Linked DNA regions of Saccharomyces cerevisiae S288C. Changing the gene in region 4 together with the main gene of any one other region gives a genetic interaction. Each region holds a gene or a part of one and is shown on either strand. Other genes may lie near its edges.

Evidence for each region.
Region 1: mutations in LRE1 (region 4) and SOG2 together harm fitness more than expected from each alone (negative genetic interaction), as found in Saccharomyces cerevisiae (one large-scale study listed by BioGRID).
Region 2: mutations in LRE1 (region 4) and CBP1 together harm fitness more than expected from each alone (negative genetic interaction), as found in Saccharomyces cerevisiae (one large-scale study listed by BioGRID).
Region 3: mutations in LRE1 (region 4) and MYO1 impair growth when combined (synthetic growth defect), as found in Saccharomyces cerevisiae (one study listed by BioGRID).

Annotation. Positions count from the first base shown.
Region 1 is NC_001147.6:996,353-1,004,202, forward strand, and holds SOG2 (Sog2p), read right to left. Parts: upstream 4,477-7,850; coding exon 2,101-4,476; downstream 1-2,100. Other genes in the region: serine/threonine protein kinase MEK1, read right to left, coding at 1-159; TFIIH complex subunit TFB6, read left to right, coding at 861-1,892; MSC6 (Msc6p), read right to left, coding at 4,795-6,873. UniProt on the Saccharomyces cerevisiae protein: Required for proper cell morphogenesis and cell separation after mitosis. Functions in the RAM (regulation of ACE2 activity and cellular morphogenesis) signaling network and is required for proper ACE2 localization and CBK1 kinase activity.
Region 2 is NC_001142.9:34,040-41,923, reverse strand, and holds CBP1 (Cbp1p), read right to left. Parts: upstream 3,920-7,884; coding exon 1,955-3,919; downstream 1-1,954. Other genes in the region: AP-1 complex accessory protein LAA1, read left to right, coding at 1-535; NUC1 (ribonuclease), read left to right, coding at 741-1,730; PEX2 (ubiquitin-protein ligase peroxin 2), read right to left, coding at 4,190-5,005; oligopeptide transporter OPT1, read left to right, coding at 5,675-7,884. UniProt on the Saccharomyces cerevisiae protein: Responsible for conferring a stable 5'-end on cytochrome b mRNA.
Region 3 is NC_001140.6:149,885-157,665, reverse strand, and holds MYO1 (myosin 1), read right to left. Parts: upstream 6,001-7,781; coding exon 214-6,000; downstream 1-213. Other genes in the region: YHR022C-A (uncharacterized protein), read left to right, coding at 6,360-6,449; YHR022C (uncharacterized protein), read left to right, coding at 7,321-7,781. UniProt on the Saccharomyces cerevisiae protein: Required for cell division.
Region 4 is NC_001135.5:34,266-41,552, reverse strand, and holds LRE1 (Lre1p), read right to left. Parts: upstream 5,689-7,287; coding exon 3,937-5,688; downstream 1-3,936. Other genes in the region: YCL048W-A (uncharacterized protein), read right to left, coding at 1-65; YCL049C (uncharacterized protein), read left to right, coding at 829-1,767; APA1 (bifunctional AP-4-A phosphorylase/ADP sulfurylase), read left to right, coding at 2,752-3,717; PBN1 (Pbn1p), read left to right, coding at 6,160-7,287. UniProt on the Saccharomyces cerevisiae protein: Overexpression affects chitinase expression, cell separation and budding pattern, and increases trehalose accumulation and heat resistance by inhibiting protein kinase CBK1.

The DNA.
Region 1 (7,850 bases), on a different chromosome or scaffold from region 4:
ATCATTTCTCCCAACTTTCACGAGCTGATGCTTTACTATAGGTATTGTCTGCTCTGTATTATAGCCGCCTACATTAACTTCCAGGTGAGCAGGAGCTACGCCACCTGCCATCTCAATATCATCTTTGGTTGCAAGGTTGCAGCTATACAACGGTCTCATTCCGCTCTTCTTCTTTCTGTTGTATATTTGGTCCTTAATAAAATTTGAAACGTACAAGAGCACTCCAGAAGGAGCTCAAGTAAAAAATTAGTCAAACCTCTCCCTTTTATACTTGAATGAATGAAATAGCCGCCGAAATTTAGCCGCCATCATTCTTCTTTTCCCCGGCTAAATTACCACGGTATGCTTTATGATTGGAAAATACCCATAAAGTAGGAATAAACTACAAATGATTCCACTTAATGAAAGATAAGCAGACAAATATACTGCATATAAGTGAAAAATAGTGAGGAGATCGCTATCAGTCAATATTGTGAAGGACCTACCTACTCTTTTTCTAGATATATATTTTTTATTTGCACAGGACCCCTCTTGCATAATTGTTCCTACTAATACGGTAGGTAGCACACAATTTTACACCACTTGCTTTACAATCATACCTCATAGGGCCTTCTTATTCTGATAATGCCCCTTTTAGAATGGCTAAACTGCTTACGTCCCGCTTTCTTACGCACTGCGCGCAACATGCAGGAAGAACAAACAACCTCGCCCTGTTTCCATAATGAAGGTCCTTGAAATAGAAGCCCCACAAAAGGGTGGAAATGTGGCAGAATAAACAGTAAGCTAACTGTTGTAGAGACTCCAAGCCCTGGTAAGGAAAGAAATATTATAAAAATAAAAGATTTCAACACAGTATTTTGATGTCTGAGCCAAACACACCATTACATGCTCAACCGAATGAGCAACTGGACTTGAACAACTTAAATGATCTAGATGAAAAAGACATTGATGATTTAAACTTGGATCCAAACTCAGATGTAGAAATTAGTGCAGACTCAGGTGATGTCGTAAATTCTAACATAGACAACGTTATATGGCAGCGTAATTGTAATAAGAAAAGAAGATATCATACACCAGAATTCAATGATGTTTACAATGAAACTAACAACACAATCAACGACGTAACTATGCTCGATGATGTTGACGATTTCCAGCCTAGAATAAACGTGTCTTCTCCCTTTTCGTCTGCCACAAAGCTGAGTGAATTATTGCCAAATGATCACAATGGAACGTCACACCCGAGAAGATTGTCAATGTCTCAACAATCCAAATTCATCTCTTACGTTGATGATCAGCTTTTACAAATTCAAAGAAAATTTGTTCAATCCAGGGGCCTGAATATCAAAAACGGCTATGCCAGTCTTACTCCGCTGCTGCAGGATTTAAAAACTTTAGTTGACTTCGTTTGGTATTCTATTGCCCATGTTCCAAACTCAGACTATTTACTTCAATCAGAAGAAAAGAGACATTGCCCAGATTCCCGAAACCCAAAAGATACATGCGGATATTCTAGTTATTTTGGTCAAGGGTCCTATTTAATAAAAATTGCGGACGATCTCATCGATTACGTTGAAAAATTTACATTCAAAAATATGGAAGACTCAGAGATTAATGACACTTTATCCAAATTATTCAAACTCTTCTTCATCCTTGACAGGATATTTGTAATTCTAACTGATGATAATGATAATTGCAAAGAAGTCCCTAAAACGTCTTCAGCCAGCAAGAACATAGCAGGATTGAATGGGACTGATATTGTGAGGTTAAAAGGTATCGCGGAACGAACAAGAGTTCGCCTACCCATATTTTTGGAATCCCAGGGTATCCATGGTTACCATTATGAATTAAGCAAGATTTACGAGGGATTTTTAGACCATGCCAATTCATTTTAACATTTACATTCAACCAGTGGCGTGTATCTTTTATACAATAAATCTGTAACTTTTAAAACTTCTGTTTCCGAACTCCTCATTTTTCATGCATAAATATATAAATATATATATATATATATATAAAGCATACATTTCAGTACCATGGGGTATATGATCCTCCCATTACGTATTCTAAAGTTCGCGTTTTCTCACAATGCAAGTTTTTATATTACTCCGGAGAGTTGGCGCTTACTGATACAGCCTTGTATGAACTCAAGTCCAATATCACAGTGACATCCTTGGTAATCTTCGCCAAGTTGGCTAGGTTAGGTCTCAGCTCATTCAAATTAGGCACGTCGCTCATTACGATTTTAGTATTAGCCAGAATTGATATTATTACTTTTAAGAACGAATTCATTATCTCCCACGTTTTCAGCTTCTCCAAAGATGTCAGATACTTCTCTGAATTTGAATCGTTCGGTATTAATACATTTAACCTTTCATTCAATTGTTTGGATAAATCCATCGCTTGACGACATGTTTCCGTCAAATCACGAATTTTAGGTGCTAGCGAGTCCGTCAAAATTTGCTTTCCCATGGTGCTAGCAATGGCTATCTTGGATATCTCTGAAGTTAACTGGTTATATACAACGCTCACCATTTTAACTACTGTGGACAACGTTTGATACAGTTGAATGTCAATATTTGTCTCCACTACATTAGCACTACTGTTCGCGGCACCACCACCATTCATCGGTGGTGGGGTTATATTAACATTCGAGACGTTATTACTATTTGATGCGTTAATTATTGAAGAAGTCATAACCGGATGCTGTTTAGGTTCATGCGCCTGTGACTCTTTTTTCGAATCGCTGATGGATTTATTGTGCTGAAGCAGCTGTTGCCTTGGAATAGTATCGCTAGTAGTTTTTACTTCATTCATGTTCGTTTGAGAACTTCCATTGCTTATTGCATTTTGGTGTCCCAAAATTGGACCATGGGTGTGTGCACCATTTAGATTTGGTGATAAAAGAGGAACAGCAGTGGTATCACCCGTCAGAATATTACTATTTGAAAGCAATGCAGATGCAGATGGTGTTCTTGTGCTCCTTGTTTTCGGCAGTAATTTTATGTTTCCGCTACAATGTGTACTGGTCGTACTTGCTGCGGGTCCTCCACCGCTTGTGATACTACTGGACGATGTCTCGTGCCTCGAAAAAGAATGTTTCTTGGGTGCCTTACTTGCAGAACCGGACACTTGATCATCTTCTTTGATAAAAGACCATGCATTATACATTTCCATATAAGCACACATTAATGTCATATAAAACATCCTTATGAAGCATAGATCGTCTTCTTTGAAAAAAATCTCAAAATTTTTTCTCAACAATGTTATAATTTGTTTAAAATTTGTGATGATAGTGAGGCACAGCTTGATTAACGCCTGATCATGCGATTCGTCTTCGTTCTCTGTTTGCTGCAAGACCTCCACCAGATTATCAGTATGTGATCTGACAGAGTATAATAATGATACTACATTAACCGCTACGGCCTTCTCTTTACAGAAAGAGGCGATTTTTCTGATAGCTTGTTGGCATTCTGTAAAACTAAATAGGAGCTTCCGACAGGAAACAACCAACTCTGCATGCGATATTTTTTGATGCCCGTTACTCATTGACTCTTCTGGTAAAATCGACAACCTCTTGAAGTAGTCATTATATTTGGTGTGATTGTATAGTTCCGTACCATTCACTGCCCCACTTTGTTCTGATTCTGCATTGACTGTACCACTGAAAGATGTTGCAGAGGTTTGATTAGATGAGACCATTGCAGTAGATGCACTTATAGTTGTATTTGCACTTGGGGCAAGTGAAATTATATTGTTTTCATTCATTGCTCCATTAGACAAGTTCGTATTTATGAATCCCATTCTTTTCGCTGCTCTAGATATTTTAGGTTCTGGAGTAGGTAGGTTAGGATGATCTTTTAGATATCGTGATATCGCAATTGCCCAATATTCTTCTTTGGGGATGCCCGTATGAAATGGAGTATAACTCTGTACTTGGTCAAGCTCTTCTTTGGGTATTTTATTATCCTCTAAATCCAAGATGCTCAGCTTGTTTAATTTTGTGATCGATTTCAAATTACGTATGCTAGTAACGTTGTTGTCTTTCAATGATAATACACGAATATTATCTTGCCAAAACGATGATATTTCATCTGGCAATGCTTCAATCTCATTGGAGGACAGATCCAAGATCTCTAATTGAGGGCATTGTGTCAAAATATATGGGATTTCTTTAAAATTGTTATTATGCAAATCCAGATATTGCAGCCTTGATAACCTCTTGAAACTCGCTGGTAAGGATGTTAAGTGATTTTTCCTTAAAGACAGTCTTTCAACATTTTGGATATATCCCACATCTTCATCTGATATGGACTTGATATTAAGAGCTATTAATTTTAGTGTAGTACCACTAGAGCTGGATTTCTCTTGTGTTGCCAACTCAGATATTATAGTGTTGCTTGAATTAGTGGATGTTTTGTCAGCAGGCAAATGTTCCTCCTTCGGATCCAACGTCCTCTTTGAAGATGTCGCTACCATACGTTACGGATACTTATAGACTTAACTCCCCCCAATAAGTTCAGGTGAAAAGTAGCATGGAGTTTTGGCATTAACTTTATTTGCCCACTTATATTTAGAGATCTTGAAATACTTTTTGTTACCCGACTTGTAGCTTCATTTTTTCATTTTTTTTTTTTTTTTTTATTTTTATTTTGTATTGTTCTTTGAAAGAATCATGCATGGAAGCAATAACTATTATACGGAAGTTATATACAAGAAATCATTATATAGTTACAGCATCATATGTGCAGAAAATTGGTTCTGAGCTTTTCTTATTGTCTTCTTATGACAAGTGTATTAAGTCAACTTTTCTGGAACAGTAATTCCATCACATTCTTTTAAAATTTGAATATCCTTAGGGTTGGGACGAAAACCCTCATTAGTGCCTAAATCTCGCATAAACTGGTTAATAAAAGCAACCTCTTTGTCAGATAACTGCTGAGTATTGCGTGCAAATGTGGCCAAGTTGAATAGAATTTTCGAAACGGCCAAGTTCGACACCCTGATACTTGAATCCTTAGCTAGATTGTAGTACTTTTCGATGTAGGGAACGTACTCGCTATGTTTACTCTTGTAAAGTTTATCACAGAACCCCAATAATAAAGCATTTAGAGGCGTATTATCCACGTTTCTCTTTCTAGTCTTTTGATATGAGAGAAAATCAGAAAACAAATTCTTTGCCTCGGCCACTGTGCCGTCAGGCTTATTAAACTCTGCGGAAATAAAGTCTGCATAATTCCTAGCATTTAAGTGAGTTCCCAATTGTTTGTAAAGTTGACGAATCGGCTCGACAGTGGGGCACACTGAAATAAAGGCTTTCGTAATCTTTTCAACCTTTTCATAATCGGTGGGATTAATGGAAACACTTTGCAATAGATCGAATTGTGGGCGTGTATCTTCTGCCTGAAATTTATAATTAGCGTACATTTTAATGCTTAGAGTATCCAAAGTAGGGGGTAACACACCATCTGATGGATAATGGTTATAGTAAAATGTGTTGAATTGTTCTTCGCTCACTTTTTCATCATCTAACATTAGCAATAAAACTTTATTGAACAACTTCTTGGTTTTAACAGTCTCTGCTAACTCCCCTTTGACTTGGTCATACTTTAGAGGCGAAGTTTGACATAAGGCCAGGAGAAATGCTTCCTTCACGATGGGATCTTTCTTGAACTTTTTAGGAAGTTCTTCTTCCCAAAATTCCTTTAAATGGTTGAAATTTCCAGAATCAGTTAGTGCGTTAACTAGCGTCGCATAAGATGTGTTTTTAATATTATCTCCTGGTTTGATAACACTGTTCCAGACTGCTAGAATTCTGTCCAACTTCTCTTTACTCGATTTAGCTCGTAAGTGCGACACAGCTCTTAAAAGACAATCTTTCAGCGACGTACTATTTGGGAAAACCTTGCTATACTGGTTATAAATAGTAACAACTTGGTCGGGTTTATCCAAATCAATAAACTTGTCCATGAACTTGCTTATGATCTCTACATTTTTCTCACCTTCAAGTTTATTGTATTGGCCATAAAGATCCCTTAAATCTATCCATCTAGGAGCATTTTCAATTTGACTTAAGAAATGATCACTATCCTGTACTGTGTATTGATAGTACAAAGTGTTTAGATTTTTGATAATCACGTCTCTTCTTTCAAGAGAGCTAAATTCTGTACTTAACATTCTTCTAATCATGTTAAAAGGTAAAACCTGGCCCATTTTACGATCGATCTGTAAAATCTTATACAGAATATTGATATCCACAGTATTCTCTGGTAAAGATAAGTAAGCAATGGTGGTAATTGCAATATTTTGCATATGTGCACGAGAAGAACTATTTTGAAGTAAGATCACTGGGTTTTCGGAAATGGTTTCCAAGTACTTCACCCATAAGGCAATAACGTCCTGTGGTGATTGATTATATAGAAGGTACTTTAAAACAATCGTGAAATGTTGTGAGCGTGCCAATTTGTATTGGCACAATGTGTTTAATACTTGATAAGGATCTAGCGTCATATTTTTGCTTCTGTAACTTAATTCCTGTAGGAGATCCGAAGAAAAATTCGCTAACAAGTGTGATCTTTCCATAGGTGAAGGGTTCCTTAATTTCTGTTTCAACGATTCAATCTTATCTTTAAAGTCATTAAAAACTTCATTGATATCTGAATCTGGAGCTTTCAACTCGTTCTTCAAATCAGCAGCCAAATTTTGTACCCTTTCAAACGGTGAGACGTGCTTTTCTCTATTTCCTGAATGTCCATCATCTGTTTCTTGTAAGTGAACGCTGCTTTGTTGGTATATCGATGTTGAAGAGGTTAGACATCTTCGTGAAATAATCACCTTTGAACAATCAAAGGCCCTTAAAGCATTATGGGAAAGCATCTGTATCCCAGTGGAAGGCTCTGATATTATTTTGTGCAGAGCCAACTTAAGCAAACATATAGACAGTACGTCCTTAGTTAGACATGTGTAGCAATTGAACGATTCCACAGGCGGTATGTATATCGTATATGATGATATTACATTTTACTTACCCCGCTTTTTCCCTCTTATAATCGATTAATTACTTAGTCGACGAGCAACCTTTTATGGCATATTTGAAAGGTAATACAATGTTCCAACTTCGTTTTTTATTCACAGATCAATTAACGTATTGGCACACCTGATATTTCCTCAATAGTAAGTAGTTTTGGTGATGTAACTTTGACACTACCTTCGACCGAATATTCACTTATAAAACTTATATATTACTTGCTTTTACTTCTAACTTGTCTGGAGAGTTCAATCTTTGTTTTCAGCTCTATATACCGGTTTTCTGCATCGGCGGCTAAATGGTATTCTTTTCCGCTTGGCTCTACACAATGTTTATTAAGCTGAGCGTCGGTGTTTCCGATTTGGACCGTTTGACTTTCTTTTTGGACTGGTTTTCTTTTTTAGTACGAGGTGTACGGACAAAAGATACTAACGGACAAAACGCGGTTGCAACTGAAATTTTTTTTTCACTATTTTCGTAGGGCACATTGGTGTAAATATATATATATATACTCAAGGTTCATCTCGTTTTTTTTAATATTCTTGTTCCTTACTCTTGATCATACGTAGAATGTATGTCTTTATCCTGAAAGTAAAGAAAGGATTATACAATGCTGAAATGTTAGTACTAAATATGAGCATACAATCACTTGTTGTTCACTAGTTCAACGAGTTTCATTCATATTCAACTCACGCAAGGGATTATGGAAGAAGAATCCTTTTTATGAAAGGGAAAAAAAACCGAAATACTATGTTAACTGCTTCCAACGCTCTATACTAATGCGCATGAAGATTTTACTTGCGAATCAAACTGATTCGCACGCAAT
Region 2 (7,884 bases), on a different chromosome or scaffold from region 4:
TAATGGATACTCTAAGCTAAGTTTTCAGGAACTGAATCAGTGCGCAAATATTCTCTCGGAGGCATTGAATAATCCTGCTACGCAGCCAATTGCTCTACAAGGCTTCAAGAGAATAATATCTAATATTTTCAAATACCCGTTGTTGCAGTATTTTATGAAGTTGGTTATAAAAAGATTCTTTCAAGATATTCAAACAAACGATTCCTTATCGCAGGCAAGCATTAAAACTAAGTTGATAATTCAGTTTTCCGAGGAAGTAATCAAACAAGATCACCAAAAGGCATCATTGTCAATTGCTTTATGTCTTTCTTTCTTTGCCGCATATCATAGCGCATATACAGAGAAAATAGACAACGAAGTAGCAAGTGGCATAGTTGCTTTGGCTAAATTGGACAAAAATTCATTTAAAGAAGCCATTTCTAGCACTATAAGTCCTCAACAAAAAGCAATTATAGGTTCCGTGATGGAGGCATACGTTAAATCGCAGTCTTTGGGCTCTGTCGAAGAGGCCTTTCAACTGAAATCTTTCGACTAATTGCAAGTCGGATGCATATGCACGGAAATAAAACTCATCGCGAAAAAAGAAAAAAAAAATAAAATCTGTGAAAAAATATCAATGGTGCAATTGGTTATTGGTCACTCATCAAGTAATTTGTTAGTTTTTATAGAGTTACAATTGTATAAAGATAAGAACATTTAGTTAAGTTCCCCACTTATTAGATCCCAAAGTTAAAGTTATCATGTGCAGTAGGATACTCTTGTCCGGTTTAGTCGGACTGGGTGCTGGTACTGGCTTAACCTATCTTCTTTTGAACAAACATTCTCCAACGCAAATCATTGAGACACCTTATCCACCTACCCAGAAACCTAATAGTAATATTCAATCTCACTCTTTCAACGTCGATCCTTCCGGGTTCTTCAAGTATGGTTTTCCTGGTCCGATTCATGATCTGCAGAACCGCGAAGAGTTTATCTCATGTTACAACAGACAAACTCAAAATCCTTATTGGGTCCTCGAACATATAACGCCAGAATCATTGGCTGCAAGGAATGCTGACAGAAAAAATTCCTTTTTCAAGGAAGATGAAGTAATTCCAGAAAAGTTTAGAGGTAAACTAAGAGACTATTTTAGGTCGGGCTATGATCGAGGCCATCAAGCCCCAGCTGCAGACGCAAAATTTTCTCAACAGGCCATGGATGATACATTCTACTTATCCAATATGTGTCCTCAAGTAGGAGAAGGTTTTAATAGAGACTATTGGGCGCATTTGGAGTACTTTTGTAGGGGATTGACTAAGAAATATAAGAGTGTAAGAATCGTGACTGGTCCATTGTATCTACCCAAAAAGGATCCCATAGATAATAAATTTAGGGTTAATTATGAAGTTATTGGCAATCCACCCAGTATTGCTGTTCCAACGCACTTTTTTAAATTGATTGTTGCAGAAGCACCAACAGCCAATCCTGCTAGAGAGGATATTGCTGTCGCGGCATTTGTATTGCCAAACGAACCGATATCAAATGAGACGAAATTGACTGACTTTGAAGTTCCTATAGATGCTTTAGAGAGAAGTACTGGGCTAGAACTTCTGCAAAAAGTACCACCTTCAAAGAAGAAGGCATTATGCAAAGAGGTAAATTGTCAAATTGTAGTGAGAGATTTCTCTAACGCGGCGATCAAACAATCGAAAGATGTGAAATTGTTACCTCCTCCAAAAAAAAGGAATTGAATGTACTGAAAAACTGTAAATATAAATTAATTCATAACACAACGATAGAATAGCATGAAAGAATATAACAAGTCTAACGCATATAACATAAAATAATACATTTATTTGATGATCAAAAAAAGAAAAGAATTAGGATGCAATGCTTGGATTTAGTATATATTTACAGAAATTTGTTTTGTTATTATTTGCTTTGTTATTTATATCGTAAATGTGCGTTTGGCCGTTCATCTTAAGTAACGTTTGACAGCCGACACACCATGCTTTTTAATATCTTGTATGATCTCCTTGTTTGTTTTGAACTCTGAATTTCTAATTTGATGTTTTAAGATGAAATTCCAGTCTAACTTCAATTCCTCAATCGTCATACCGTTCTGGTATAGTTCTGCGCACGCCCAAAGAAAAATGTCTGTTCTTCCTATCTGCAGTGCGCTTAATGCAATATTCCTTAAAATAGTAAACCTGTTTTGATTATTCACTTTTAATTTGACATCACATGGGGAGGATGCAATGAATGGGTTACAGTTCGATTTTGTCCAGTATGTTTTACTTCTCTTTGCAGCATTTATATAAAGTAGTTTTGCCAAATCGATATCCTTCTTGGCATTGGCAACAAATTTACCATCTCGCTTTTTATAATGACAAAGTTTTTTAATGTATAAAGCGGAAACCACATTCCAAAGAGAGTTTCTGTGGTCAGGATCAAAATCATGTGCCTTCGTCAACAAATCGTTTACAAGTGCCATCAAATTATCGGTGAACTTGACCTTTGAAGCCAATTTCCAATCAACTACTTCGTTAATTATTGACCCATAGGCTAACATTGCTTGTCCGGGGGGTATAGTATCGAGTAATTTGACTGCCTTAGCGATATGATCGAGGTTTTGTGTTTTGAAAAGGTGAATAATTATTGCTTGATAATTTTCTTGCGAAAGCGCCCTGAAATTTGTTGTTATTTGCTTCAAAACCCTATCTACACCGTTAGAATCGTTAAATTTCAAATGCATTCTTAGCAATGAAGAAAGACATCTCTTGTTAAGCCAGACAATATGATGGTTTTCGGGTAAAGTGTATCTGTTAATGTTCTGCATGAGTTCCTTGGCCATTGTTAAAGAGTCTTGCTTTGTAATGAAGTCAATAATTGCCGGTAATATCAAAGGGTTATTACAATAGTACTCTGGAGTTAATTGCCAAAACATTTCGCTACATATAGATCTATAGGCTCTATTATGGGTACAAATCTTGAAGACTTTATAAATGATTCTGGAATCATGTGCAGAAATGGAAACATAGTGCTCTTTGATTTTGTTCCAAATAGAATACACACTTGCAACATTTCCTCTTCTATAATTTTCATCAATGGACTTGTACGCAAGCAGCACTTGATCATCCCGAAGCTTCAAATCGTTAGTCAAAGAATAGTTTATATTCATCAGTTTGTTCAGTATAGCCTTGCATAATTGCGGGGCTTCATTACTTAAGCCGAGGGCCTTATTAGAAAGAGTTTCTAATTGAAACCTCGTTAACTTTATTCCGCCTCCGGTTATACTTTCGAACAGAGAGTTCAGTTGTAAATATTTGACTAGATGAACATGATCATGCAGTGGGTTTGGGTACGCTAATACTGATATTATTTTCTTAGCATATTGTTCGTCTAGCTTTTTATCATCTGTAAATAATCTGTAGTACAGCAGGAAAAGGTCGGCAGCCATAACTATGTCTCCTGTGCCGATGGCATCATCAACACACCAGCGCATAGTATCCAATTGCGTAGTCAAGGGCTTTTGATGTCTTACGGATGAAACTTGGGAGACCACTTGATTGACTAGATCCAAGTTTTTCTTGCATTGGTACAAACATTCTCTTCTATAAATTCCTCTTGTAGTCATAGATGAGGTTTTTGTGCGATTGATGAAACTGATGAAATCTTCGATCTTGACCTCGTGTAATATAGAGCTTTCCAGTAAGCTATTTTCTTGTTTCCGAAGACTTTTGTAGTCCGCCATGTCAGACCAATATTTCCGTATTTTCAACTTGTCATTGTCATTTAAATTCGCATTTGCTTTGATAAGGGCCAAGACCTGTTTTTGAATTGGATCCCTGCTGCTGTGGTTGATTCGTCGCAAGGTCCTGGTAGGTACCATTTTTATAAACCTCTCGGTCCTGTACCGAACGAGACGAGGTAAAAACATTGCATGGAAAGGGAAACGTGCAAAATGCAAACTACTGCTATCCTAAAGTGCTCACTGTTTATTATTACTGGATTTCAGACGTCGCTTCCCACATCGTCCCGTACAGCGTTCCATGATGATATTATACCACTTCTTTATTGTTTCTTTTTTTTCTTGAGCAGAAAGTGAAAAAAAAAAAACCAGACCCTTTACCACGTGACCGATTTTGACAACATGAATATGAATATAGTATACACATATATAGAGATACAAGCGAGGGAACGGGGCCCTTTAGTACACTGGTGAGGCGGTCAGTCTCCCAGAGGATCCACAGGCATCGCACATAGACCACTCCAACGCCTTTACAACGCACACGTAACAGTAGTTCGCACGACAACAAGCGATCTGGTATGGGTTGGTTGGAAAACCGCCGCAACGGGGGCAAACTGTCTTATAAGTAGTCGTAGAACGAGACCTTGGTGGTTTTTTAACAAAGGTCAAGAGTCCTCTTTTCGTAAGTAGTGTATTGGAAAAGAGTTCTAATAGTGCATTCCATAGCAATTGTCTATTCTGGTATTCTAACCCAGCGAATACAGAGTTCGAATAAAATTCAGAGGCAATTGCAGAACCATCCCGAATCAACCTTGTGGAATGGACATTAAAAGCCCGGTATAACGGCGACAAAAACGCCCTCGCATTGGGCCCTTCCGCTGCTAGAAACCTCAGGAAGTTGGTTACATCACAGCCGTGATACAATAAATTAACCCATTTGTACAGCTTCAGCCACATCATCTGGTTCCCACAGTGCGGCCCATTAAAAATAATATGTGTGATCTTCTTCCACACGTACCCTGCCAAGACAGTGACGACATACAAGGTGCGTTTCCTGCACTGAAAAACCACGCCACTGAGTGCGGATCCATACGTACAGCTAGAGCCATAGTGTGGCAGGAACCTCGTCGCGCACATAAACACAACTGTGTTCAGTGCCAACTCCCATTCCTCTTTGTGTTCACTCGTATTGAATGCTGCATTGAACTCGGACCAAAACTGTCCATACAATTCTTTATCAAGCGCTATCGAGTCGAGCTGTGCAACTCGAGACATGCTGCGTTGCCTTTAGATTACGTCTTCTCAGTTATCTCGGCAATCTCTCCTCGTTATGCTTTCCCTCCGTCTTCACTCATCCCTTATAATGCGTTTCCCAGCAACCTTATCGATAGAATGGAGGGGAAATCGCATCCGTTCCACTCCTCGGATCGATACTAACTTCCGAGACGTTGCATCAAAGGCCAAGACATGGCATTAGTCACCCTTGTTGCAACGATAGACGCATACTACGGACCCCTCAAACCTCCCTACCTGCCCGTCGCTATCGCATTAATTTTCTTTTTTTCCACTATTTTTCCGGCCCGCCACACCTCCGACTACAAGACGCCACATCTACGTTTTGTCACACAAAATCCAGGACAATAGCCGTCTGCAAGGCACCAAGGTTTTCAGCAGTTGCTTGTTGCTGCTGCCTGTTAATCACATCAAACCCACTGCAAGGGCAGTCGATGGGTCTGTAAACGCCTTAGCAATCGTTGTTGAAGAAAGAGAGCTCTTATCATCATGGGGTGCCCATCATTTTTCTTTTTTTTTCAAATTTTGGGCTATTCAATGAATTGTTTCGACTATATATGGACAATCATCGGAAGCTGTGTATTCTTGGTAAAAAGTTTTCGACTGTGTGGCAGAAAATAACCGCAACAATTATATAACGTCACAGAACACATGAGTACCATTTATAGGGAGAGCGACTCGTTGGAGTCGGAGCCCTCGCCAACGCCAACAACCATTCCTATCCAGATCAATATGGAAGAGGAAAAGAAAGATGCTTTCGTTAAGAATATTGACGAGGACGTCAATAATCTCACTGCGACTACTGATGAGGAGGACCGCGATCCGGAAAGCCAAAAATTCGACAGGCATTCCATACAGGAGGAAGGTCTCGTTTGGAAGGGCGACCCTACATACTTGCCCAATTCTCCATATCCTGAAGTGAGATCGGCGGTGTCCATCGAGGATGACCCCACCATCCGCCTCAACCACTGGAGAACGTGGTTCTTGACCACGGTGTTTGTGGTAGTTTTCGCCGGTGTTAATCAATTTTTTTCCCTGAGATATCCATCGCTAGAGATCAACTTCCTTGTTGCACAAGTTGTTTGCTACCCAATTGGTAGGATACTGGCTCTCTTGCCCGACTGGAAGTGTTCTAAAGTGCCATTTTTCGATTTAAACCCGGGCCCATTTACCAAAAAGGAACACGCCGTGGTCACAATTGCCGTGGCGCTTACTTCCTCTACTGCATACGCTATGTACATTTTGAACGCCCAGGGAAGCTTTTACAACATGAAACTTAATGTCGGATATCAGTTCTTGTTGGTTTGGACATCTCAAATGATTGGTTATGGTGCTGCAGGTCTTACCAGAAGATGGGTCGTCAACCCTGCAAGCTCTATCTGGCCTCAGACTTTAATTTCAGTGTCCTTGTTTGATTCGTTGCACTCGAGAAAAGTTGAAAAGACAGTCGCAAATGGTTGGACGATGCCCCGTTACAGGTTCTTCTTAATCGTCCTTATCGGATCGTTCATCTGGTATTGGGTACCTGGATTCCTCTTTACCGGTCTGTCCTATTTCAACGTTATCCTATGGGGGTCGAAGACAAGACACAATTTCATCGCTAACACAATCTTTGGTACTCAAAGTGGTCTCGGTGCGTTGCCAATTACATTTGACTACACCCAGGTTTCCCAAGCCATGTCCGGCTCTGTTTTCGCCACACCATTCTACGTCTCCGCCAACACCTATGCATCAGTGTTGATATTCTTCGTCATAGTGCTGCCATGTCTTTATTTTACGAATACCTGGTATGCCAAATACATGCCCGTCATTTCAGGTTCTACTTATGACAACACTCAAAACAAATACAACGTAACAAAGATTCTTAACGAGGATTATTCCATTAATCTTGAGAAATATAAGGAATACTCACCGGTATTCGTTCCATTTTCCTATCTTTTGTCGTATGCTTTAAATTTTGCCGCTGTTATCGCCGTTTTTGTCCACTGCATCTTATACCACGGTAAAGATATTGTCGCCAAGTTTAAAGACCGTAAAAATGGTGGCACTGACATTCACATGAGAATCTACTCCAAGAACTATAAGGATTGTCCCGATTGGTGGTATTTACTTTTGCAGATTGTCATGATCGGTTTAGGATTTGTAGCAGTGTGCTGTTTCGATACTAAGTTCCCAGCTTGGGCATTTGTTATTGCAATATTAATTTCCCTTGTAAATTTCATCCCGCAAGGTATCTTGGAAGCAATGACTAACCAACACGTAGGTTTGAATATTATCACAGAATTGATCTGCGGTTATATGCTGCCTTTAAGACCAATGGCAAACTTATTATTCAAGCTATACGGATTTATTGTCATGAGACAAGGCTTGAATTTGAGTAGAGATTTGAAATTAGCCATGTACATGAAGGTTTCCCCTCGTTTGATCTTTGCCGTTCAAATCTATGCCACTATCATATCAGGCATGGTTAACGTTGGTGTCCAGGAATGGATGATGCATAATATCGATGGCTTATGTACCACCGATCAACCAAATGGCTTCACTTGTGCTAATGGTCGCACGGTTTTCAATGCTTCCATTATCTGGTCTTTGCCAAAGTATCTTTTCTCATCAGGGCGCATTTATAATCCGCTGATGTGGTTCTTCTTGATTGGTTTGCTATTCCCACTAGCCGTTTATGCTGTTCAATGGAAATTCCCTAAATTTAAATTTGCTAAGCACATTCATACTCCTGTATTTTTCACAGGCCCAGGTAATATTCCACCAAGCACACCTTATAACTACTCATTATTTTTTGCAATGTCATTCTGCCTAAACTTGATAAGAAAAAGATGGAGAGCTTGGTTCAATAAGTACAATTT
Region 3 (7,781 bases), on a different chromosome or scaffold from region 4:
ATTGAATCGGTTATTTTCTTTATTTTATGTACCACCTTTAAGACTACTATCGAAGGATACGGGGTGAAAGAGTTCATGCCACTTAGTATATAACGCTCGTGTCGTCTTTTTCTGTTAATAATGCATATTCTCATTCTGTATATACAAAACATCTCATCATTATTTTTTTAAATAAAGGATATAAAGTCTTCCAAATTTTTAAAAAAAAGTTCGTTAACTGAAAATTTTACTCTGTGCATTGTTACTATCAATATTTTTCGAGCCTATCATGGTAGATTCATAACGGCTTTTCCAGAATTCAATTTCTTGGGCCATTTCCTGCACTTTGTCGCGGTAAGAAGAATTATCTCTAATGGATTTTTTCATCTCAAGCTCTTGTTGAGAAATGTACTTTTCTAAGTCAGAGATTTGAGCCTCATATTTCAAAGTAGCTTCCTCAAATTCGCTTCTATTTTTATTCGCTAGTTCTATTACATCTGTTTGTTGGGAGTTCTTAGTTTGTAACTCTTCCACTGCTCTCTCCAAACTCTTGTTCTTTTTCATTTCTTCATATTTCAAGTCCGTTTCTAGGCTTACCATATTTTCCAATTCATGAATCTTTGATAACCATGCGTTTTTTTCAGTAGTGTCTGATAATCTTTCATGCAAATTTTTTAGTTGAAGCTGTAAGTCGGTGTTGAGCTTTTGTAAAGTTTGATTTTCTTCATATAAATCAATATTCTTCTGCTTCTCATCATCAAACTTATCTTTATATCCATTGCAGCTGGCCTGTAATGTCTTAACCAACTCCCCATTCCTTGAATTTTGTTCCATTTGCAGTTGTAGTGTTTCCTCCAGATATTTGATTTTTTCAGTAATCTCTTTATTCTTTTGTGTGGAACTTGAGAGTGCTGCGTTTGATATCTGTAGCGCATCAGTCTTTTGATTTAAGTCAGATTCCAGTTCCTGCTTGATTTTAGTCAAAGACACTATCTTTCCTTTAAGAGACTCGCATTCAGTATTGAGTGCCTCGTATTTCTGATAAAGTTCTTTTTCTGCAAGAGAAATAGCATCTTTTTCGTTGTTCAACATTTCCACCACTTTTGTATAATGATCGAGCTGCTTCAGCAGATCGGAGATTTTTGCTTCAGAATCATTAGTCGAAGTTTCCAGTTTGTACTTAAGGGTTGCAAATTCTTTTTTTAAGTTTGTTTCAGCTTTTAAAGAGCAGTTCAATTCTTCCTTTAATCTATTAATCTCATCCGTATATTGGGATCTATCTTCTACAGCGCTCAATCGCTCCTTTAAATGGGCCAAATCATCACTCAGGATTTTCTTTACATCTTGGACTCTCTTCAACTCCAGCAGAGTTTCCTGTAATTGCATATCTGAGTCATTTCTTTCCATTTCGCGCTCCCAGATTAACTTTTCCTTTTGCTTATTTTGAGTTTTCAATTTTTCAATGATAGACGCCATATTCTTTACGTCCTCTTCAGCTTGTTTTAGTGCATGAATATGTTCTCTTAGCCGCAGTTCATTCCCTTGCAGATCGTCCATGCAGTTTTCAAATTGCTGTTTCTGCTGTTTTATTGTGGATGATAGTAGTTCTTTTTGGCGTTCCGTAGATTCAAGGTCTTTCTGTAATCTGTCTAATTGTTCACTAAGTAGGGCTTCTTTGGATTTTGATTGCCTCAAGTCAAGAGTGAGTTGGCTCAATTTTCCATTTGATTCATTTAATATTTCTTGGAGCTTGTAGTTTTCAAGTTTATAATAGCGAATTTCTTCTTCATATTTTGAAATGCTATCACGGTTCTTTATAATATCTCCGACAGGTAAATTTGTTCGATCACGTAAAGGCATGGTTTTTAGCTTGTCTTCCAAGGATTTGACTCTTTCTTCACTGGCTTCGAACTTCAGTTTGTAAATATCAGAAGATGACAGGGAGCTTTCCCCTTGGATCTTTCTAAATTTACTGTGTAAAGCAGATATGGCATTTTCTGCATCGTAGTGAGCTCTTGTTTCGATATCCAATTGTCTTTTTAAATAATCGACCTCAAGCATTAATTTGTTAATATCAGACTCTTTGTCAGGGCAGTTATCTAGCGGCTCATTTAGAATACTGTCCAAAGGAATACTAGGGTCCATATCCTGGATCAATTTTTTTAATTTCTTCATTTGTGCCTTAATCTTTTGGTCCTCAAAAGACGAAGATGCTAGTCTTGTTTCAGTGAATCTCAATCTAGAAATTAAGTTCTTCTTCTCTTCAATTTCATTCTCTAGATTCCTAGTTATTTCAGTAAACGCTAATTGAAGGTCATAGTATTTTTTTATTATATCTTCTTTGTCAAGTGGATCATCTGAATACGATGTGGAACGTCTAGTAGACGAAATATTCGTTTCTACAGAATTTCCTGATATTCTTTTGTTTAAGTATTGATTTAAGGATATTTCCTGTGACAACCGAGCTTCCAATTCTTTAATTTTACTATCGTTCAGAGACTCAACCAGGCTATTTCTTTTCTTTTGCTCCTGTTCCTTCGTTTCTCTTTGGAAGTTGGAATATTCTTCTTTAATCTTTTGATAGTTAGATTTATACTCGGTAAGTTGGATTCTTGTCTCTTTTAGTTCAGCAGTAATTTTACCATGTTCGCTAACTGCGTCATCTCTTTGCTTGGAAAAAGTAGCAAGCTCTTTTTTGTGATTATCTATTTTTTCTTTCATCTTTAACAGTTCACTTTCCTTATTTTTCAACTGGTTATTCAGTGCTGCCTTTTCTTTCTTGAAATTCTCATTTTTCGAACGCAAATCTGAATTTTCTGTTACAAGGGATTGTAGTCTTGACATCGCAATGTTACAATTTTTCTCTAAAGTGACCAATTTTATGTCAAGATCTTCTTCTGAGGAACTTAACTTATCGTTGAACGATTTTATTTCTTCCTCCTTCGAGTTTATGACATCTTTTAATCTCTTTATTTCGTTTTCTAGCTTCAATTTAGATTCTTTGATTAAAGACTGGGAGCTCTGTTCCTTAGAAATGTCACAGTTCAAGTCTGATATTTGCTTTATTAGTTCGTTATTTTTTGAGTGTAATTTCTCTAAGGTCGCCTCCCGTTCTCTAATAGTTTCTTGAAGGCCTTGGATTTTTTGATGAGCTTCTTCAAGATTTTGCGCAACTTCTAGTTTTTCCCTGCTAATTTCATCCTTTTCAGAAACAAGGTCATCGAATTGTTTTTGTAATGTTTCTGAGCTGGTTTTAACTCTATTTAATAAGCTCTCATTTTTTCTTAAATTCTCTTTCTCCTGATTTAGCAAGTCCTGCGTATTTTCCAACTCATTGACAGTTTTTTGGTTCTTTTCTTCCAAAAACTTCTTCTTAGATTCCATTTCTTGAAGGTCGTTCTTCAGTTTATTAATTTGCTCGTTGAATTTTTTGGTTCTGGTCATGTCATTGGATGATGTTAAAAGTGGCTTGATCCTGATAAATAAATTAAACCAAGGATCTTCCTTCACCAGTCTATTGTATAATCTGAAGGTATTACCAATCACCCTTGTTTTCTTTAATTTTTGTAGATGGTACGTTATTTCTTTTCTTACTGTGTAACCTCGTATAGTTGCTGTTAGTTTAATCATAATATTATTCAGCTTAACATCTTTTTGTTTTTCCAAATCTGCCAATACTCCAGCTTTGAAAAACAGTTTAGTATTACCAATTTTATAAACTTTTGTATCCAGTTGCAAAGACGTTAGAAGAAACTCACAGTTTTGTTTGGTACTGGCTTTTAATTTAGAACTGAAAGTCGTGGTGGTTGAATTTTCAGGATACAAGATCCTATACCGCTGGAAAAATTCTTGGAATGCTATCCTATTTGGGTAACCTTCTCTGGCAAGTCTAATACCCTCTAGCACACCATTACAACGTAATTGATCTAAGATTAACCTTCTGTTAAATGTTTTCACTTTTTTCACGTTGTTTGGAATTATACAACGAACAAAATGTGGGTGGGTAGAAGCTAGTTGATTTAGTAATGTTATCTGCTGTTCTCTATGGCGTGATGATGTAGTCTTGAAGGTACTTGTCCTAGCTGATTTCTTAACTTCTTGGTTGGAGATGTTGGCTTCCACACCAGCACTAGAAGATTTTTCGCCCTCTGGCTGGAACAGTTTTGAAATGATATCGTTTTGTGAAGAAGACAACAAAGACAAGAGATTATCGTTTAAAGGATCTTTGTTTTTGGATAACCAGCCTTCCACAGTGTATTCCACATCCCCAGCATAGTGTTTCAAAATGAACCCATTTTTTAATCTTGAACGTTTAAACTTTGAAGAGTTTTGGTCCCAAGTTGAGATCAGTTTAGAGTAGAATGACTCATCAGTGGATTTGGGCAAAACGGCTTCCTCATCCAACAACGGTAGTACACCGGTCGGTGGCCCCTTGCTTTCGATCAAATCAATCGTCAGTTGCAAATCTTTTCCGTAATCTATATAATCCCATTGAATGTTTTCCTTTAAATATTCGCTCTGTTCTAAAACAAACATATGGTTATTAAAGAACTGCTGTAATTTTTCATTTGTATAGTTGATGCATAATTGTTCAAAGGAATTATTTTCGAATATTTCAAAACCAGCAATATCCAACAATCCAATGTAATTCAAAGTTGCACTCCCATGGTCCAAGTTTTTATTAATCATATCCACAATATATCCGAACAACCGCTCATAAAGATTTCTTGATAAGGCATTCAAGATGAACTTAGCTTGTTGAGAGTTTTTGGACTGTGAAACCCACTCTTTTCCGGCTTTTGATCTAGGCCTTAATATGGCAGTTTGGAAATCTTTTTCGTCCACGCCTAAATTGCTACAAATTGCGCTAACATCATTTTTGAAAGATGCTTGTTCTGCTCTGTCTGATACGAACTCAATGTTACCGATTAATAAAATAATTGCCACTACTTGAAATATCCATCTTATTTGATCTTTTGAAAACCCAATAATATTCAATGCCGAGAGCAGTTCTTTAAAATTCTCTACGTCGTTGATTCCTGGTATAATATCCTGGTTAGAATTGGATAAAATTTTGTAATCTTTTACGTTCCTAGATTTAAGGCGTAGATTTTTCAACTCAGAATCGTCTAAACCGGATAATAGTTGGTAAAATATATGATAATTTCTTTCTTTCGAATTTTGATGAACAATTCTTGATTTCTCTAAAAGGTACCACTCGATATGCGCACCATTGATCATACCATGTTCATTAAATTCTATCTTTATGAATTTACCGAATCTTGAAGAGTTGTTATTTCGTACAGTCTGTGCATTACCAAAAGACTCTAAGATAGGGTTACTTTGTAGAATTTTCATTTCGAAGCTTTCTACAATAGAACTACCACTAACAGGAGCTATATTGGAAGGAGAGCCAGAAGTTATAGATGCTAGATATTGTAGAATCTTTTTCGTATTTTCTGTCTTGCCCGCACCGGATTCACCAGTGACTAAAATAGATTGATCTTTTCCTTCAGATAAAAGATTCTCATAGGCTTCTTCTGCAATTGCAAATATATGCGGCGGCAGTTTTTCATGGGAGTTTTCATCCAATCTGCTCTTTGATAACCTGTTATGCTTGTTGTGGTACAAGTTTATATGGTCTTCAGAATATAAATTCAAATTGTGATAAGGGTTAATCGCCACTAAAAATAAGCCGGAATAGGTGTATATTAGATCACAATCGTACCTCTTTTCTAGGTTATAAAGCACAGACGGCTCATTCAAATGGGTTAACTCAGACATATTCTCTACTTTGTCAAAAGTCGATGGGTTAACTGGAAATACATCGGATATTCGTACCTGCACTAGATTAGAAACCTCTGTGGAATCCAACGGGTGGACAATTCCTATTTGTTCTTCTTGGCCTGTAAATTTATTCTTGTTGATATCGGTACTCATCAGCTCCCCTTTTACGAAAACTTCTTTCTCATCTGGTATCCAGACGATCATATTAGAACTGCAAGACTGCCCGCCGGTCATTATTGCTGTTGTTGTCCTGTCTAACTTTGTTATGATCTTCTAACCACGAAGTTCGCAGGATTCGAGATGTAATCAAGAAAAAAAAAGTAGTGTGGAAGAGTATGAATAAAGTAGCTGGTCATAAACAATGAACAATCAAAACAAATACACCAAGAAATTACAAATGTTTACGCAATTACCCTTTTGGGCTAAATGATGAAATCTCGAAATATTCCAAATTCCAAGGAGGGTAAGAAAAGCTATCTCAGCATTACCCTGTGAATATTTTTCCGATTTTTTTTTCACACCAAAAAAAAAGTAATGCTATACAATGACACATTTATGTAAAGGCTTTAACCCGGAAGAGAAAAGGGATATGTATGAAAATCAAATTCTCAAGAGGGGCTCGATTTTCAGCGACCTTTTCTTTTGATAAGTACCCTTTCTTGCTATACGAGGTGGTCCGATAATATGCCCCTCCTTTATCTTTTTGTTTAGCCTTTTGACTTCGTTTCACAATAGCATAAAACCATCCATGTAAAGGTATAAGGCAAGGTTTGCCTTCCACGTTGAAGTACTAAAAATAAATTTTACTTTTGACGGAACAATGAATGCTGCAAATATTCCATTGCGTGATTTGAAAAGCTACAATATTTGAAAAGGCAATGTGTCGCTTTATGAGTTAAAAGTGCCCTAGCTTGAGAAGGAGGTGATGCGTTACTAATGCTGTAACAAAGAAAATTTTGCGGACGGTTCTAATCAATCTTCCTGCGTCATGTCAGTGCGCTTTGTATGTCCTGCAGCAGTATTCGGGTAAGATCTTGACGGAGGAAAAAAAATGCTTTAATACGTAATGGTGCAACGATCTTCAAAAGGGATACTCAAGCGTAATATCCCTTTGTAAAAGCTACGTCCATTTTAGAGGAGATATAGGGATTAAGATTAACGCTTTGTTTAAAAGCCATGACCTTGATTATTAAACGCTATTTTTGTCGTCTAAACAATTTTTTTTTTTTGCACTTCTGATAAGTACAACTTGTAGAAGTTGTTTTTCATAAGAACATCAAGGGCAAAAAAAAATGTCGTAGAGATCGTCTATGCTTGCCTTCTTTGAAAAATCCTTTTCAAGTACTTACCTTAACGATCTTGGCTCGTTACTTATTATTTAATTTCAAAAAAATCTAAGAAATTTTCAAAGGAATATATACAGGGAGAATGTATATAAAGAAACGCTGAGCATGTAAATTGTATCTAGAGAAATTGTTAAGGTTCTGCTCTGTGTTGGCTATCCTATTTTTTTGTCTTTTTTTCTTTTAATTATACCGTATTAGGTCAAACGCTATGAGTGTTCGCTTATCATACGGCGCAAGCCTTGCGTCAATCCCAAGATGTTTCGACTTGAAATCTTCGAAGATTACTGTAATGGGGGATGATCATTCTGGAAAAACTTCTCTGGTTCGCAGTTGGCTAGGTAGTTCATTTCAAATATCAGATGCTAATCGTTATAGGGTTTCGGACCTCTACCACAAGACAATCCAATTTGATACTTTGGTAAAATACTATCGTACCTTTGGCGTAAAAGGACAGTTGCCGAATTATGCGGGTTTCAAAGCTAAAAACTCTGGCACAATTTATGAAAGTTGTGGCAATTTCCTAGAAGAGCGCCTGATCAATGCCAATAAATCGACTGCTCAAAGACGCACCAGTATTGATGTTCAAGTTTTTGATACCAATCAAATGGAGGTTTCGTACCTTTCGGAGCTAACTACTCTTCAAATTAGGCAGTCTGATGCAATTATATT
Region 4 (7,287 bases):
ATGCCAACTTGGGCGTTGATAGCAGTGACTGTAGCTAGAACAGCGACAATGTTTTTGATTTGCATTATTTAACGGAAGTATAAGGTTTGAAAAGGGAGCTTTAATTGTTTTAGCCGTTATCGATTTAGCGGTGAGAATGAAATAAAGAAAAGAGGAAGAAAAGACATTACATACAAATTTTTTTCAACTTAAATGGAGGTTATGTACTTTCTTATATAGATGCTAATCTTTTTTTTTCATCTCATCACAGATTTACGTCGTCAATCTACTAACTTCCCTTATCTTCCCTAAAGGGTATCTTACGTTTCCCCTTAGGGAAAATGAGTTTTGTCCCACCTTCCCTTTGGGAAAAGGCAATGTAAATCTTAGAGGCAAGAACCACACTTGTTGATAAGATCAGCTGCGTAACAGTGCGCTAGGCAAAGGGATGGAATAAGATAAATCCCTTGTTATCCCTTTGCTTTTAGTCTTATGTTGGGGAAGTCCACAAGTTATTGTTACATAAAGGAGGAGAAGAAAACTAGGGGAATATTTATAACACTCGCATTAGCTGATCGTAGGAAAGCAACACAAAACATATGCATCAGCTGGCCCTGTTTGTCTTGCTCATCGATTGATTTTGCAAGCAAAGCTGGGATACCCGAATGTGTATGGTTTTCCTTTTTTTGGTATTTTTCTCCTATAAACGAGCTTTTTTTCGTCTTGCATTCAGATTTAAATAGCTGCTTCTAAATATATACTTTACGCAAGAGGGTCCGGTCCCAATAGGAACCAAGCTATTGCAATTCCAGGGTTCAAGAGAGAAAAATCTGTAATCACTTCGAACCAATGTTTAGTAAATACCTCGTAACTGCATCTTCCCTCTTTGTGGCTTTGACCTCTGCAGCATCTACCGTTGATCTAGATGCTCTGCTTCTTCTACCAGGGGTCGAGTCCCACGACGGCGTTGATACTGTATTTTCGACCAAAGACTTTTATCAAGTGTCATTCGTCAAATCCATTGCTCCTGCTATCGTAAACAGCTCCGTAATCTTCCACGATGTTTCTCGTGGTGTGGCTATGGGCAATGTCAAGAGCAGAGCAAGTATCTTCAACCCAGAGGAAACGTATTACGATTGGGAACAGTACCAAGTAGTAAATAACGGAGACTGGCGAACCGAATGGGCACCTGCCTCTGACTGCATTTGGAGGGAGGAGAAGGATAACAGCGACGAAACACCGGACAGATTCCCCATCTCGGTGCCATATAATTGGACGTCACAGTACTCAATTGTAGATTATGACACAGACGCTAACGAAGACAATTTAGATTTCAGGTTTATTAAATCATTGCTAGATAAGAAAAATTGGTTGAAAAAAATTAACCAGACTGTTTCCCAATCCAGTATTATGGTAGCACCAATGATTAGGCCATACAATGTGGTCCAGCTTTGGTATTCAAAAGATATGGTTTGGGCAAACGTCCAAAGACAATATTGTAGCGGTGTTTATCCAGGAGGGACTCAATGTAGCGCTTGGTCCAGGTACTACCATGTTGATGCACCCACCTGCGATGAGCCTGTCGCCTCTTACATGACCAAAATGTTGGAAAATGAGGTTCAGTGTCCCAATGAGAGAAACGCAACTACCCTAGAGCCTCTCCGCCTGAATAAGCAGGGAGACTCTGATTTTTCTTTGACTTTCGAGGAAGAGGAAGAGGAAGAGACAGGATCTAAATCTCTTTGGAGTACATTGAAAAAAATTTTCTCTAAAAGAAGTATAAGTTGATCTTAGTTGGTAGCACTTTGATGAGGTCTCTAGCAAAAAGTCTACAAACAAATTCTTGAAAGTGTTTGATTGTATATCGATATATCAGAAACATACATATGATTTTTATCTTGTGAATATTCATCAAACTCCGTTTTTAGCCCCCGTGTAAGTTACTTTAATGAGTATTTGATCCTTTTTTTTATTGTGTTGGTTTTTATATGTTTTGTTATGTATTGTTTATTTTCCCTTTAATTTTAGGATATGAAAACAAGAATTTATCAAAGAAAAAAATCTTAGCTTTAAGAACTACAAAGTAAATAAAAAATAATAAATCACACCGGACAGTACATGAAACTGGACATATTTGAGGAATTTCTTTTGAAGAGTTGAGCATTCAAACTGGCCGGTCTTGCTGTGGCCTCAATCCACTTGAGCTCCAAAGAAGGCTCTGAAATGCTTATTTTTTTCAAGCGATACAAAGTAAACAGTTACATACCTGAATGATACTACCACAACTATTTACATTATCGTCCTGTCAAAAGGCGAATAATCAGAACTGTTTGTTAACATGTCATTTTATAAGAGCGGCCTGAAATACTGTCATAAGTGGTCTGTCGAAAGTAGTTATTACGGCGTCGGGCGTCGCGAATAGCTCAAAAGTCACCCCAGCTTACACGATATTCCCATAACCTACAGCAAGAAGCTATTCTTGGATACAAGCACCAGTTACAAGCACTGCATTCATATATTGCCTTTTACTTTCCTATTCTGTATTTGTGTGCTAAGTGTCCTGTTTCGGAACGTTCTAGAAGATTTTCTTATTTTTCTCTTTTTCAGTTTTTTTTTCATCACGCAAAGGAAATACAATACAAGGTTAAAATGAAGGAACTAACATTACTATTATTTCCAATTTAAAGTTTACCTTAAAAGACAATAGATTGATCTTGAAAGCCAGTTTAGATAGATTTTAGAACAAACAGAAAAGTAAAAATTAAAATAAAAATGAGTATCCCCGCTGACATTGCATCTTTAATTAGTGACAAGTACAAAAGTGCCTTCGATAATGGTAACTTAAAATTTATCCAGACTGAAACAACGAAAACAAAGGACCCAAAAACCAGCATGCCATACTTGATTAGTCACATGCCAAGTCTGATCGAAAAGCCAGAGCGTGGCCAAACTCCAGAAGGAGAGGATCCACTAGGCAAACCTGAGGAAGAATTAACGGTTATCCCAGAATTTGGTGGTGCCGATAACAAAGCGTATAAATTGCTATTAAACAAATTCCCTGTAATCCCTGAACACACTTTATTGGTAACTAACGAATACCAACATCAAACTGATGCCTTGACCCCAACCGATTTATTGACTGCTTATAAGTTGCTGTGTGCCTTGGACAATGAAGAATCCGACAAGAGACACATGGTCTTTTACAATTCTGGTCCAGCCAGTGGTTCTTCATTGGACCACAAACATTTGCAAATTCTGCAAATGCCTGAAAAGTTCGTCACTTTCCAAGATAGACTATGTAATGGTAAAGAACATTTCCTACCAACTTTCAATACTGAACCTTTGCAAGATGCTAAAGTCTCGTTCGCTCATTTTGTCTTGCCAATGCCGGAGTCTGAAGAAACTGTTGATGAAGACCTATTAGCTATGTGTTACATCTCCATATTGCAAAGAGCTTTGACCTTTTTCCAGGACTGGTTGAACGAAAATCCAGAACTAAAGAAATCCTACAATCTTATGTTAACCAAGGAATGGATCTGTGTCGTTCCACGCTCGAAGGCCTTTTCTGATGAAATGAAGATAGGTTTCAACTCCACAGGTTATTGTGGTATGATCTTAACCAAAAATGATGAAGTTTTCTCCAAGATTACTGAAAAACCTGAATTGATTAACGATATCTTATTGGAATGTGGTTTCCCAAACACTTCTGGTCAAAAACCAAACGAATACAACTATTGAGTCCTTCACAAGTACAAGTATACACGTATACATGTATGTATATATATGTATTTAAATGATAGAAGTAATTTCTATATGTATATGTCTATTCAATTTTTATTTCTGATGACTTTGAAATTTTATATTTATTATTCTACACTTTATTATTAAAACTACATGCAATCAATGCCGTTAAGGTTACGATTCACCTTTTTATTACTTATTATTAATATTGTTGTATTACTTCCTTGAAAAAATATGTCTAAAGAGTCCTAATTTGGATTTTCTTTTCCTCCTAACTTCACTGTCCTGCGCCTGCTTTCCTAACGCATCATCGCTAATACACCAGCTTTCATTGCTTGTTGCTGCGCTGTTGCTCGCATGGAACGTTTTCAGTGCGTCATCATCCTGGGATAAACTAAAGACTAAGTCACCAGTTTCATTTGAGGCTTTTCTCTGCGCGTTGACAAAAGAGGACAGATCAACCATATCACCTGGTTCACCCATGAGAATGTCCTTACTTAGTTGCGAATTGGTTCTGATCTGCCCTTCAGACTTGGAATATTCATTACTGTCATTACTTTTAAGCCTATTCATTTCTTCCTTGCCATCAGGCGTACAGGATTTGACCACAGAGTGTTGAAGGGGTGCATCGTCCGCTCTCGTAATAACCCCTCCGATACTATTTTCATTGTTGACACCGTTGACTGAAAAGGGCATGGACTGTGCATTAATGTTTTCATTTTTCATCATATCATCATATGGCATTTCATAATGTTGACTCTTGTAGTTGAAGATTGAGTTTATCGTGTTACTGTTTCGTCTACCTTTCATATTATCAATCAGGTTGCGGTGTTGCATGTGGGAGATAGGACTGCCCGATCTTCTTCTTCTCGATTCTCCACTAAAATCCTGTCTTTTATCGCTATCCAGCACACGATTAAGCTGTGAATTGCCGCACTTTTTAGGATAACCATCCTTGGCATATCTAGGGTTATCTTTTAGTGGAAAATTATCACTTTCTAAGTTAATGTCCGCATTGCTGTCATAAAAGGATACTGGTGTTGCGGGAGTAGATGCTAGTTTAGAAGGGGTATAGGCCAGGGAAGAAGGTGTCATTGCCTGATTGATTGTCATTGAAGCAGCCGACCTTTGTTCTTTTGGAGATTGCGAGTCACAGCCTACGGTCAAAGGTAGCTGCTTCGTATAATGATAATATCTTTGCTTTTGGCCTTTGATCTTCAACGAATTGAATGTGTTGGAATTCCGTGCATTGGCGTTTTGCATCCCATGGTTGTGATGGGTCGGTGACCCATTGAGAGCTGAATCATCTACATCAATGGCCTGTTCAGATACACAAAGGGAAGGCCGCAGTGGGGATAATAGTGCTGTTGGAAGCTTTTGCTCATAATATTCATTTTTCGATTCTGGTTCAATTAAGGAGTCCTCTTCTTCTTTAATCATAGAGTTAGAACCGGCTGCACAATTGCCCTTATCTACCATAACCTCCAAATCAGGAGGAGCGGATTCAGATCTTCTATGTGATTTAAATGACCTAGGCCTTGTCTTCAACGCATCGTCAAGGTTAATAATGGCATCTGGGACGCCTTTAACTGGCGATGAAAAACTTGGCTCTTCACTAATGAAAAATCGTGGACTTGGTGTTTGCAGATTGTTCTTTGGTGATAACGGATAAAATCTTGGTTCAGGCAAATCTAACGTTCCAGCGTCTTCATTGGTTTTGCAAGGAAATCTATTGTAGCGTATTGGCGATAATGTACTTGATACAGCAGTTGGGGCAGTTGAAGGACAATTTTCAGCCGCCTGTGGAGGTGGTAAATTCACAATTGCTGCAGGCTGTTTCAAAAAATCAAAATCTCCTGATATTGCTAGCGATCTGCGATGGCGGTGACCTCTTTTGGATGGTGTAGACAAAGTATTTACAGGATTTGGCTCTGATATTTGCACATGTTGAGTATGCGTATTGGGCATTTTCCTATTCTGAGAAGGAGTATGAAATAATTGCCGAGGGTTCAGAATGCTCTTTTAGAAATAAAAATGAATGTAAATAGTTGGAATGTATCTTTAAGTAGACAAATGCAGGTAAGTTTTAGTGGCCTTTGCGGATTAACAGTATGCTCTTAGTGCAAAACACGAAAAGAGCTCCCAATCTTTGAACACAATCGACCACGGAGGAACAATACACGTAGAAGGGGATAACTAAAACTTTGTCGTGCAAGAGTATTGGAGGACACACTAACAGCAGAACTTTGCCTTCTTAACTCTTGTTTATGATTGCTTGAAGTATTACACATGTAATAAAAGATGATTATTTTTTTTTTCCTAAAAAAAGTTCCTTTCTTTGAAGATCCCCCTGATAAAAAAGATCAAATAATGGAAACGCTAATCATAATCAAATCGGGAGGAGAATAAACGCAAGAAGTGTGCGTTTCTAGCTGAGTAATGGTGACAAGACATAGAGTGACTGTACTCTACAATGCCCCTGAGGATATCGGTAATCATATGCGCCAAAATGACACTCATTTGACTGTTCGTGGAGGTTCTGGTGTGGTTTTACAACAAAGGTGGCTATTAGAGAGGACTGGAAGCTTGGATAAATCCTTTACGAGAATCACTTGGAGGCCCAGAGCGGACTTGGCTAGAAGTTTAAGCGTTATAGAAAATGAACTGAGTGCTGGCTTTTCAGTTTACTCAAATTCTTCGGATGTGCCGGAAAGGTTTATTACTAACCCAGTCTACAATTCATTTCACAGTGAGAAGTTTGACATAGAGCAGTACTTGCCTCCCGAAGTAGATTTGAATCTGTCATGGAATCCAGAAGATTTTACATATGATATATCAGTGGAGCCCACACAAATCCAAATTGTTGAATATCGTCTGTTGAAACAGGGTGAAGAATTTACAATTGCAAGAGTGAAAGATGAGAAACTCGAAGTAGGTGTATTCTTTGTGGATGCAAGTGATGAAAGTGATGTCGATATTGGTGGAATACGTTGTAATTGGAGGATGGACGATGGTAAAATGGAAAGATGTCAGAAAACATCCTTATTGTATAAACAGGGCCATATCGCATACAATCACTCGACGACTACGACATCACTATATCTGAATGAACCTATCGGTTTGCATCCAAAAATCATGATTGATCTCACAGATTTCGAAGAACGCCCTAAATGCATGTATCTAATGCACCTGCAATTGCCGTTAGAATTATTTATCGATAAATTCCAATCCTCTCCCTTACTACTTTTTGGAGAAGACGACTTAGAATTACCAGAATACTCTCTTCGAGATAAGGCATGGGGTTCTGAAAGTATCTTTGAATTGAAAGCCGGCACAATGAATGAAGTGACATTGCATACTAGATATATTGAGCCTTCTAATAATAAAGGGGATAAATTAGAAGTTTCATTTGATCCAGAAGTTATATTAGCCTGCGACACAGGTGACAATAAAGTTTCCCGTAATCCATTTTATAAAAAAGGTCTAGGATATGAATCTCTCTTTACAGACGATACTACATTCCGCCATTTGAACTCGACAACTCTTCTAGTACCAATTCCAAGGCCT